Schizosaccharomyces pombe: one gene and its partners. The protein of the gene in region 2 purifies or fractionates together with the protein of the main gene of each other region. This does not show direct contact. Each region holds a gene or a part of one and is shown on either strand. Other genes may lie near its edges.

What was found.
Region 1: the proteins of snf30 (region 2) and sol1 purify together in Schizosaccharomyces pombe (affinity purification with mass spectrometry, with the first as the bait; one study listed by BioGRID). This does not show direct contact.
Region 3: the proteins of snf30 (region 2) and ssr1 purify together in Schizosaccharomyces pombe (affinity purification with mass spectrometry, with the first as the bait; one study listed by BioGRID). This does not show direct contact.

The regions. Positions count from the first base shown.
Region 1 is NC_003423.3:1,308,540-1,313,577, reverse strand, and holds sol1 (SWI/SNF complex subunit Sol1), read left to right. Parts: upstream 1-1,775; 5' UTR 1,776-1,853; coding exon 1,854-4,451; 3' UTR 4,452-4,506; downstream 4,507-5,038. Other genes in the region: karyopherin/importin beta family nuclear export signal receptor Kap109, read right to left, coding at 1-240, 290-347.
Region 2 is NC_003424.3:878,590-882,429, reverse strand, and holds snf30 (SWI/SNF complex subunit Snf30), read left to right. Parts: upstream 1-1,961; 5' UTR 1,962-2,240; coding exon 2,241-2,443; exon of another isoform or gene 2,444-2,594; coding exon 2,595-3,216; 3' UTR 3,217-3,283; downstream 3,284-3,840. Other genes in the region: ubiquitin hydrolase Ubp7, read left to right, coding at 1-1,407. UniProt on the Schizosaccharomyces pombe protein: Component of the SWI/SNF complex, an ATP-dependent chromatin remodeling complex, required for the positive and negative regulation of gene expression of a large number of genes.
Region 3 is NC_003424.3:3,604,035-3,607,965, reverse strand, and holds ssr1 (SWI/SNF and RSC complex subunit Ssr1), read right to left. Parts: upstream 2,185-3,931; 5' UTR 2,169-2,184; coding exon 585-2,168; 3' UTR 512-584; downstream 1-511. Other genes in the region: ghs2 (glucosidase), read left to right, coding at 1-137; translocation subcomplex subunit Sec62, read right to left, coding at 3,053-3,874.

The DNA of each region.
Region 1 (5,038 bases), on a different chromosome or scaffold from region 2:
TAATGGTAGTACTTTTCAGCATCAAGTTGATTATTTCGCGTTTGATCAATTCTGCCACCTCATCGCTGATACGAATAGAAGCACCTTCCTCAGAATCCCAATGTTTTTTAATGTAATTTTTGAAATACAATGAAGCGGCCAGCTTAATATTGATGTCTACTGTATCCTCAGCGACAATATTGAGGAGTTTTAGTGCAAAAGAACTATCTTGTAATTCCCATACTTTCAGTGCTTCCTCAGCTATATCAGTTAGTAAATTTGCTTTATCCACTCTGTTGGGGTATCTTACCACTTTTGGAAGTCGTAGGGTTTAATGTTCTCGCAAGAAGAGTTGGAATGTCATCCATAGTTTTCCTACAGGGATTGTGGTTAAGGGCAGATTTTGAAGGACACCGACGTAACTAGAACAATTTCTCTAACATCGTTATAGAGAATTTTTAATTCCGGTTTTATTTATTAAATAATTTTCTCTTAAGTTTGATATAGTTAACATCTTTTAATTAGTTTGTTTGCTTCTTTTTCAGGCTTGTTAATGTAATACTTTTCTTCGCTTAATTTTTGTTTTTTTTTCTATTAAAACACCCTAATATACCAATATTTGTAAATAAATAGTTGGACTATACTTGATAAATTACTTAAAAAAGGAATTAAAACTAATAAAATCTATAATTCATTATCAATAATTCAAGGGTTCACATTTTAATTATCAGCTTGTAAATACCTAATTTCCGAATTACTTGGTTTTAGTTTGCAAGCTCATTAAACATTTTATGAACCGTCAGAATAGAAATCGCTTTATACGTGGACTTGAAAGTTGTGTTAGTTGACTTTTGTTTCAAATCTAATTCTTGTTTATGCCATCAAATTCTACATGTGCAATATAGCATCTCCATCTTTATCTCAAATACTACAAACCTTTTTTTATTGTAGTATTTAGTTTTTTTCCTTCTTGAATCGGATATTCCTTTTGCGAGTTGACTTGAAACCATAGATTTGCAAAAGTAAATAATTAAGTCATAAACATATATATTTTACACGTACAAGCCCTTGTCCATAGAGTTCAACAACCTAAATCCAATTGCTTGATAATAGAAATTACCATATTCTACTATCTTGTTTCATTCATCAATAGGTTTACACATATGAAAGCACGTTTATAGAAAACAATGAAATTTATAAAATGACATTGCGTCGAGTCTTATGTAGCCAGAAAGAAAGAAGGAAAAATAATGAATAAAAAATAAAAAAAAGGTTAGACCAGATAAATTTGAATTAATGTGTCAATTTTGATTGCTCCTTTCAAAAAAAAAAAAAAAAAAAAAAGAAAGAAAAGGAGGATAACGGGATCTCGAATATGTTAACTCATATGCTTTTACTATTTTAAAAAAAAAAAAAATAATTTATTAAAAAAATATCTGTTTCCGCAAGAAGAAGATGTTGTACTCGTGATTGTTTACAGTTTCGCCAAGTCTACTAACAGAGCAAGTTAATAAATATTGTTTCTATTACAAGAGGAATAAGATATTATTTTGTTTTTAAAATTTTAGATACCTGACTAATCGATAAATGCTTCCCAATGCTAACAATTGTCATTGACTTGGAAATAAGAGACACTGCAAAGGCAAGAAATCACGTTTGCGAGATTTAAAGGAATGAGTGTAAAGATTTTTTAGGAATTTAAGCATTTTCTGAAACACACAGATTAGGTTCTTAAAGGCAGCACTAAACAACTCGTTATATGCACTTCGTCTGCTTTTCAAGCACTTTCAGCTGCCAAGCGCCTTAGACGTTAATATATTGAAACGTGTATTTTAAGGTCCCTTTACTCTTTGTTTGATTTAGTATGAGGAATCATGAATAATCAAGGGTTTGTTCCTGCGAGTGATTATCCAACCGCAGTATCATATCCCACGCAAGGTCAAAGTTATAATACTCAGGAAGAACAACCTGCGTATCCTCAACGCTTTTCGACAAGCCAAGGGATGTATGCAGCAGAATATGGAAATGCAAACATGATGAATACTTCCGAGAATGAGCCTAACAATTTGGCTCATTCACAGCCCTTCCGACAATCTCCATCAACTCAACGTAATTTGCCAAATCAATCATTTGATTTCGCCTCTAACGGTGCATGGAATGGCTCTGGATCTGTGAAATACTCTAGTCCCATGATGCCTTCAAGTCGGATCCCGTTTCAACAAGAAAAAGAGGCTGCAATGCAGCAGCAACAACAACAGCAACAGCAGCAACAACTTTATCAACGACAAATGCAAAGCAGAGAGGCCTTACTCTCTCAACAAATTCCTCCTAATCAAATTGGCATCAATGCCCACCCAGCTGTAAGACAAACTCCTCAACCTGCACCTTCCCCAAATACTCCCTCTGGTAATGCTAATCAACTAACGCCTGCTTATGCTGCTAGTTTTGACAAATTCATGGTTAGCCTTATTTCTTTTATGGAAAAGCGGGGGACGCCAATCAAATCTTATCCTCAAATAAATAATACGCCTATTAATTTAATGATGCTGTACGCCTTGGTTATGCGTGCCGGTGGATCTCGACAAGTCTCAGCTCATAATTTTTGGCCAAAAATTTCTGCTTCCTTGGGGTTTCCATCTCCTGATGCTATTTCCCTTCTAATTCAATATTACAATTCCTATCTGCTTCCATATGAAGAAGCATGGCTTGCTGCTCAACAGCAACAAAAATCACTTCAACAAGCAAAAGCTAATCATTCTGCGAATGTTCAAAGCAGACCAAAAAACTATCCACAAAAGCCGGTCCAAACCACCCCAGAAGCTGTACATGCCAATGGTTCTATGCATGGATCACTTCACTCAAAGTCACCCTCCCCAGCATTCACCGCTAATCGTTTCTCTCCAGCTGCTCCTACCACAGTTAGTTCTGAAAGAAATGCTCCACCATACCCTTCTGCTCCGACTCGACCCACTCCGCCCACCGTTCAAACTTCTTCTTCGGCAGCTCCTGTTGATTCTGCCGAACCCGTTGCTTATCAACCGATAAAAAAGCCCATCGATCCTATGTTGGGTTATCCCTTGAATGTCGCGGCCACGTATAGGCTCGATGAATCTTTGCTTCGGCTTCAGATGCCTTCAATCGTAGATCTGGGGACTGTAAACATTCAAGCCTTGTGCATGAGCCTGCAATCTACTTTGGAAAAAGAAATAACGTATGCAATGAACGTTTTACTTATATTAACAAATGATCAAAAATGGATGTTTCCGTTAAGTGAGTGCCAGGATGTAGTTGATGCGTTGATTGACGTTGCAACTCAGTGCCTTGATAATCTGCTATCTGTTCTTCCTAATGAGGATTTAATGGAAATCGCCGATAAACGTCCTTCTTATAGACAACTTCTTTACAATTGTTGCGTAGAGATATCGCAGTTCTCCAGAGAAGACTTTTCAAATTCACTAAGCGAAAACAAAACAAAAGATAGCATCAATGCTATTGATGTTCATAATTCGGAGCAAAATTTGTTAGCTGTTTTCGTTATTTTTAGAAATCTCTCTCACTTTGAGGCCAACCAAAACGTTTTGGTACAAAATCCAGATTTTTTTCCTCTACTCATTCGTGTAGTCAAAAGTCTTAATTTTCATGCCACTTCCCTTCTACGTTCATCAAGAAATACCTTGGATTTGCATAAAGATGTATTAATCGTACTTTGTCAACTTTCTCAAAATTTCATTCTACCGAATGTCGACGTTGCTCGTCACGTTTTACTATTTATTTTGTCTTTTTCTCCATTTAACAGAAAGAAGAGTAAAACTATTTTAAATGACACCCTTCCAACCTCTATACCTAGTTACACACCTGCTACCCATCCCTATGCTGGTCCCGCCATTAATGCCTATGCCAAATTACTAGCCAAAGATGCTAACAACAAGACAAACTTTCAAGCTATTTTTGATAACAATCCAAAATTTTTAGACTCCCTTTTTCTACTTCTTGCTTCTGTTGTCCCAAAATTTAACCGCCACTGCCTTAAAATATGCGAGCGAAGGTTACCCTTATTGCAGCAGTCATTTTTTTGTTTAGCAGCTACCGTTTCCTATGTTAAACAATCGGAACAAGCGGCAAATTGGTGTAATATAGGCGAGGGATTTTTTGTTTCCATGTTACGCCTACTCATACTATTATCAGGTCATCCTTCCCTTAATCCACCATCACGTGTAGCATCGCAGTATCCTACTACGAATCCTTTTCGTTATGTGATTCAGAGTGGCATATCTACGGTGCGTCGACTTTTGAGCTTAGTGGAAGCTGGAAATATTTCATTATCTTCTTTCCCCAAAAGTGAAACTCTCCTCGCTGTTTTGCTGGCTCCTACAACAGAAACCTCGTTTCTAAAAGAGATCTCAAATTTATTGGATCGAACTGGGGACAGTGATGCGTCTTTAGAAAATACGGATGATAAATCTGGCATTTAATTTGTAGATAATTTTCCAAACGTTTAATATTTTTGTCTTCATTCTAGTTAATCTGATGCGTTTCTGTATGTATATTGTCTAAACATGCTTTCAAATTTTTAGAGATGATTTATTTACTTTATAGAAAGACTACTTAACCTATGTAGAGTTAATTGCCATTCTACGCATTGCAACAATTTTATTAAGAGTATTTTCAAGCAATTCTAAATAGACTGAATTCAATAAATCAACCAGACTACAATTTCCATCACAACAAGAAAAAGTTTAACTACTCTATATTGGAGAACATGATAATCAACCTTTATCACCACTACAACTACAAGCCAAACACAACACAAAAAAATTTAATTAAAAAAAAAAAAAGGAAAAATTTGCAAGATCAACATCAGACATCCAAAGGAAGGACTATGCACGACATCTGCGGCAAAATTGGGTTCGTATGCCGCTCCGGGGAAACTGCGAATGTTCAATGGAAATTTCATCACCTGTTGATCAATGCAAAAAAAAACCTTCGCCGAACAATCCAAAAAGCAATACAGCACTATATATGTTTATAACTAAAAGGATGTAAAGTCCAATCTCCACCA
Region 2 (3,840 bases):
CAGCATCAGCATGACAGTTTCTTGCCTGCTAATTCATCGCCATTAGCGGCCTCGTCTACAAAATCCCTTCCATCGTCAGAACTTCTCGATTCCAGTTCAGACAAGGGACAACAAGTTTTTAAGGGTCAACATGAGGTCGCTGGTACCAATTCTTTTGAAGATCCTAATTCTCATTTCAATGTATCTAATAGTTCTAATCATGAGGAGGCTAGTCCTAAAAAAGAAGTTTTAAAATCTCCTCAATTTCAAAGGCGTTCACTAGACATACTACGGCTTGGTGAACTTTCTTCAGATGATATGATGCTTGATAAAGCTACTATGGATGAATTTTCTTCAAGCCTGGTGATCAAGTCAATTTTTACAGGCCGTTTAACGAGCGTTGTGATGTGCCAAAGTTGTAATGAAATTACTAACACTCCTGAACCTATTCAAGATTTATCCATACCTATTCATTACCCGTCTAGCCGCGTAAGTCGTCGTCATCGATTCCATCGTGCTCTCCGTTCACGATTTAGTCGTTCACCAAAAAAATCGTCTGTAAAGATAGTTGTTGACAATGCTAACGACGACACTGATCAAGCCCCGACTACTAATTCCTCTTCGTTAAATGAAAATTTACTTGGTGGGCATGCTAGTGAAAATGACAAGAGTTTGAAACAGTCTCCATTTCAAAAACTGACTCGAAGATTAAGTGATCTCTCTGTCAATTCTAGCGGGCAAATTTCGAAACAAGATTTTGATAATAGTAATTCAATTTTCTCAGAATCTTCACTATCAAGCCCAATAATAGAGGAGCCTAAGACACTTATTGATTGTCTCAAAAACTTTACTCATGTTGAGGAGTTAAGTGGTGAAAACATGTTTGCCTGCGAGAATTGCTGTAATCAACCTAACGAAGTTGGCTCTCCAGCTAAGGGAGGATTGACGTCGGATAACGATAAATATTCGTTTAATAACAGTGTTTATAGAAATGCTTACAAGCGGATGTTATTAGATGACCCTTTACCTCCTGTTTTTATTATCCATTTGAAGCGTTTTTTCCAGGAGATTTCCCACGATGGTTACGCCAATCCCAAAAAAATTTCCGATTTCATTGAGTTTGAACAAGAATTAGATTTAAACGAGTTCGTTATGCCACACCTACGTGCTTCAAGTAGTTTTAGATATCGACTTTTCGGGGTCATTGTGCACAGTGGCACCCTGAATTATGGTCATTATGTTGCTTACGTATTGTCTCATAAATTCTTAGACCTCAGTGCCCCTTCTACGAATTCTAAGGATTTCCGTTCTGAAGCTGGCATACCCGAGAGACGATGGCTTTACATTAGTGACAATATTGTACGCGAATCATCCTGGGACGAGGTTTCAAAAGTCGAAGCGTATATGCTATTCTATGAACGTGTTTAGACTTCTATTGCTTTAAATCCTCATTTTAGCTTAACAATATTTTTCAATACCCCTGGTTTTTATCTTTAAAATGCAAAGTATTCATTTTGAAATTTACGATTGGCCCAAAATGACTTATTCAACTCAATCTATCTTCACCTTAATCGAATTTCAAAATTACTTTGTCATTTCACCTCATAACTAGATACTGAATTTTGGACGAAACCATAATTATTCAAACACATTCTTTTGATGTACCTCAATTAAAAAAATACCATTTTACTTAATTAAGCAAATGGGATAATTTATTTTACGTTATCAATAGTCTATATAATTGCAAATTTATAGAAAAATCTAAATTTACTTATTTTTTATACGCTAATAGTGTTGTTATTGAATTGTATAAATATTATCTCTGTTAATGAAGCGTGCAAATCAGCTTTAGTCTCTAAATAATTATTATTTATTTATTCTATTGCATATATTTGAAAAGTTATCAACAATCTTATTCAGTCGAATTTGAATGTTCCGTAAAATAAGAAATTTATTTGCCCGAGGTTAGAGGTGCTTAAACTATACACCTGACTTGTCATTATTGGAATATAGTCGCTATTGAATTGTTATAGTGTTGTTACATTCACGTTTATTACCATATAGCATTTAAAGGTTGTTTTATACTTTTTAACGACAGTATTCATCAGAGACTCTAAAATTCGCATTTGTAAAAAAATATATATATATATTACCATTACTCCTAGTTAATGGGTTTTAAACACAAGAAGTTACAACAAATTTTTTAAAAAAACTGGTTATTTAAGTTATATCTCCTTTTTAAGTTAACTACGTTTGTAATAATGAGCTTTGTTTCGAAAAGTCCACCGATAGTAAACTCCGCGAGCCCAACCGGACAGGTTAATCCAATGGAAGTTGAAAAGGCGAACAAATTATTAGAAATTAATCGTTTGATTTTATGGAAATGCTTAGAACTTCAGCATATTAAGACGGCGCAAAATTCGACATTGGAGCAACGGGCTTTATCTACTGAACTTTTCAACAGGTAAGTGATTGAAATGTTTTGCTTACGTGCACACTTAGCTGCGGAAGGATATTCATTGTGTGTATCCATTTTCGGCTCCTCAAATTGCGCTTCGCACTGTCTCTCTTTTATTACATTATATTTTTTTCGTTGTTACTAATTCATTTACTAGTTATATACAACGTCTCAAAGCTAATCTAGCTTTTGTAGTATCAATTGCTTCACCCCGTCAAATGCAAGTTTTAACTCCGCCACTTTCGTGTCCTGAAAGTCTACCTCAACTCGAGCCGTTATACAAAGAACTCCGGCAATATTTTCAAATCGCTCAGACATCTACACTATCGTATCCTCCTTCAAATGGGGATTCGTCTTCGTATGCAAATGGCACAGACTTACATGGAAATACAGGGACTATGCAGCAAGAAGAGAAAGCCAATCCATCATTAACTCGTTCAGATTCTGTTTCCTCGGGCTCTTATATTACAATGCAGGGAGCCAATAGTCTGAAGGCCCAACAAGACTTATTGAACTCGTTTACTGGTGCTCCTTCAAACAATTCTCATAACATACCCGATCCTAATCTATCTCAAACATTTTCAGCAACTTCTATGGGACCTCCCAACAATAACTACTCAAAGTTCCGAACGGATAACTACTTAGCGAGGTCCTCAAATCGCTCGGGAACGCCCAACATTCAAAATGAGCAATCTCGTTTTTTTGATTCACAACAAGCTCAAGTTCAGGCTCGAGCATTGATGCAAAGATATCAACAGGGGATGGAATTTAACAAATAGTGGTGTTTTTGAAGTTTATGATATAGAAAAGCTATGTCCTGTAATTTTATGTTTTAATTGATCATTTATCTAAACGTAAGACTTGCAATGTAGCGGACGCCTTACATGTAATTTTTATGCAACTAGTAAATTTTGACCACTAAGATCTAAATTTGTTTAGGAAATTAGGAATGGGTAGCACAACATTACTAAAATTTCAATTGCGAAAACCAAATCAATAAATTTATCTAAAACGACGATATGTTTACAATTTTACTATAGCACAAGCAAATGAATGCCATACAAAAATTTTTGGCGGAAATTACAACAGATGTGTAAAGCAATTTTAAAGTGGTGTCGCTTAATTACCTTTTGAATCTAAAACGCTATTGAAACTTGAATTTTTTGATGCCATAATTTAACTAAATTGACCAAGTTTAGAGATTAAAAAGCCAATAATGATAACTCTGAAAGTTTCCAGTATAATATAAAACAAAAATGGATAACGAGAACCTAAATAATCTTTGAACTTGAGTCGTTATCCTCTAAACAAGCTCAACCTTTTTTAAAAAAAGAAAGCATTATTGTATAACAATAAGTGAATTGATAATTCCTTTTTAAAACATTAATGGAATTTGCTCTAAC
Region 3 (3,931 bases), 2.7 Mb from region 2:
TTGGTTGTGATCCTGAAGGTTTCCCTACTACTGAATATATTGCGAACCATCCTAAAGCCTACCTAAATTATAATGCAACCAGTTGGTCAGAAGCAGGATATGTTCGCCCCAAAAACTCACTCATGGACGGATGTTGAAAAACTTCATTTTAATGTAAGGATTGCGAAATCCATATTAAGCGGCATTTTGTCTTCATTCTTTATTTCTTTTCATTTACTTTCATAGAGTTTCACATAAACCATTAGTTAGTCCCTTCTTTCTTTTCTCTCAGTTCTTTCATTTGTTGCATAATTTAACATACGACACAAAGGATTTACACAACGTTTGAGCTGACCTTACTTTCAAAATTTGATAACAACTGGTATATACTAGTACGTTAAAATTGTTGCCCTTAGAATGCTATAGCTCTCTAGTCAATCTATCAATCAGCCGAATGTTAAGAGATCAAGCTGAATAGCCCGAACTTGGGCCGCAAAAGTTGAGTAAACTAGATATGTCAAAGACATTAAGATAAGATAAAAAAAAAATTCATTTAAATAAAAGCCTAATAAATTTTTATCCGATAAGCATATTAGTTGAGATTATTAAGAAGGACTCATAGAAGAAGCTGGGATAACAGAAGTTTCAGCGGAGCTTTGAACTGGTAGACCATTTGCGGCAGTATCCTTCGATTGTAGTTGTTGCTCTATTTTTTTGCGGGCATTTTGACACTCTCGTTTCATATACAATTTTTCCCTATAAGTTGCCTGTGCAAAGGCATCTAATTCTTGGGATTTAAGACGAATGTGCTGATCAAGATAATCAAAATGAGATAACTTGGATTCAATTAGCTTAATTTGCACGTTAACAGAATCCTTTATAATAGAAGCCATTTTCTTTTCTTCATTAGTTAGATATAACTCTGATAGACTATCAGAGTCCTCCAATGATTTACCATTCATCTCGACATCATAACTTTCTGACTCTGGTTTGGGATAAACCGATTCACCTTTAACTTTATCCGACTCCTCCTCTTTTGCGCTGCTTTTCTGTGTGAAAGAAGAAGGTGGTACCATTTTGGCTAAGAAAGAGACTACGGATAAAATAGGGTTCTTCCCCTGCAAAGAATCAACCACAGGATTGGTATGCACTTTGTCCATTTTAAATAAAGCTTTGTCGGAAGAAGGAAGATTAAGGAATTTCAAAATACACTCTTCAACACTTTTTGTGTTCACATGAGAAGCAACCTTTGCCCAGTCGTCACTATACATTTCCACTCCCTCTGACAAAAGAACAAGTTCTTGTGCAGTCCATGTATCATCATCTTCAATTTTATTTTGTATTGCGACCTCCTTATAATCAGCAATTGTGGTCGGTGAAGGAAACCGATTTTGTTGGTAGCAACTTATACAAACGTTATATTTTTGGGCCGTTTGAGATTGGTAGTAACTTTCATTAAATTTATTACCGCAACAGTAACAATGCTGTGGAGAATCTGACTGATCAATGTTGTTTTCATGAAGGTTCGAAAGGCTTGGTTTTTGATTCGGAGTTGAACCCTTACCTTTTAAGACATCGTCGAGAGAGGGATCATAAATATTTGTTCGGACAATCGAAGGATCTTCAATGGTAACAGCTTTGGAACGAGGAATTGAAGAAGAGGGAGGTGGAAGAAGTGGTACCAATCCACGAGGAGTATCAGCAAGGATTTGGAAATGACTTGTGGAAGGGGGACCTATTTTCGAAGGCCGAGTATCGGGGTTAACGTTATAGTTGATTAATCCCCATTGCTCTAGAAATCTATGGACACGCAAGACAGCACATACATCACCAGCCAAATTCCTTCGGCAAGCCGTGAAAGTCAAATAAACTTTGGAGTTCAATCGAAAAGTACTAATCATAAAATCTCGGTATTCCTTATATACCTCTGGTGTTTTCGACGTATTTTTTCCATCAAAGAACTCAGGGTTTTGTTTTTTCTCAATTTCGTGAACTTTAGAGAAATCAAACCATTGCGCCCACTCAGGGACTTCTACTTGTGGTAACTGGCTCAACAAAAATTCTTTGGCCTCGTCTCTGACTTCTGGTTCAGTGTCCTCCTTTTTAGAAACATCCAATTCCATTGGCTGAGCAGAATCTGGTACCCCGTTTTCGTGTAAGTCATGTTTATTTTCAGTAACGTTGGACATTGTGGTGTTAGAGTCTAGTATAATATTTACAAAATCCTCAACGCCAAGGGCTTTAAAAGCTTCACGTCAATAAAATGCACTTAATCAACGAAAAATAATATGTATTACCCTATATGATTGAGGGATACCTTGAAAATTCAAGTTTTTTTAAAATGCCCTGCAATTAGTAGGTAGTGGGAGTTGACTTAGAATGACGATGTCTGGTTAACGAAATATACAGCAAACGCACTATACACTAAAGAATTGAGAAAATATTCAATATGGAAAGTAAAATTTATTGATATGAAGTTAAATATCATATGATATGATGACAATTTATACCATGAATATTAGTGAACTTGTAATTATAATCACTCCTATGTGATCAGCCAACTATAGTAAGAATGCACTCCTTGTGTCATGAGGAAATGCTATACTAGCTTTAAAAGGAGAAAAGCAAGCTAAGAATCTAGTAATTTCGCTCAAATGTGTTATAAATTGAGATTAAAAGAATAAGGGAATTATCAAACCACCTACCAGGAGTGGTACATAAATTAAAACGCTTCATATAAATGGGTTAAGCAAGAATTGTGTGTCAATAAGAGTAAATATTCATTGACTGACAAACTTGCCGTAATTAAAATGCGTAACAATAAGAAACACAAAAGAATTTAGTGTCCTCATTTAGTATATACTGATTATATATGTATACGTTTGGGCATAAAATGAGAACGCCAAGGTTTCTTGGAAAACACATTTAGAATCTCAAAGAACCTTTCTCCGAAAACATAGACGAAATAAATTGTATAAGGAGAATTGATAACGTAAAGATATGCACTATTTTTTTTTAAAGTAAGTAATAGTGGCTGAGTGACTGGATTCATCAACGGTACAACAATTAATTTTTATTCAGAGACTTCTTCGACGGTAGGATTTCTGTGCCTTAAATTCTTTAAAGAAGTGGTGGACGTAGAAGACTTTTCAGGAGTTGCAGAAGCAGCTGGTGAAGTGGCTTTTTTTGACAATTTCTTGGATTTCCTTGTCTTCTTTACCTCAGATTTGGAATTGTGCCAACTCCATAAAGGTTTAAAGCTATCACAGAAGCCAACGTCGGCAAGAAGATTGGGGAATAGCCAAATGCCAGGGCGCACGATGACAGCAGTAATGCAAAATAAGAAAAAACGTAAAATAACCAAAACAAAGAATAGACCGATTACTCCAAGGCCTCCCATACTTAAATACCAAGCACCCTTGCGCATAAACATTGGCCACAAGGGGAACAAAACGAGTGCCAATACGACAAGAGCGAACAGTACTGCCAAAGCCATAACGCGTTTTGGAAGAGGCTCGTAGAGCCAAACATAATGCATATCGTCTTGAAAATCTTGATTACGATTTATCTGTAATTCTACAAGCTTCTGCTTTCTTTGTTTAGGGGGGAGTTTATCAACGCGAACCAGCATCGAATTCATAATGAGCAATTTGAGAACTTCGATTGCTTCCTCACGGCTTGAAATTTCTGGAAACCCTTTGTATTTCTTAGGCGTATACGCTTCGGATGTTAAAAAGCGAAGAACACGCTTCACACGAAAGTAGTATACACGTTTTCCATTGAGGATCGCTGGCTTTGTTTTCAGCTCAGGGCGAGACTTGAGGAAGTTTGTAAAGCGCATCGAAAACTTGCACTTGTCTTCATCCTTCAAAACTGGTACATTAGAAGAATCCATAGGCAAAATCCTTGTTTGGAAAAATCTAAAATAATGTGGTTCTGGAGTAGATGAAGT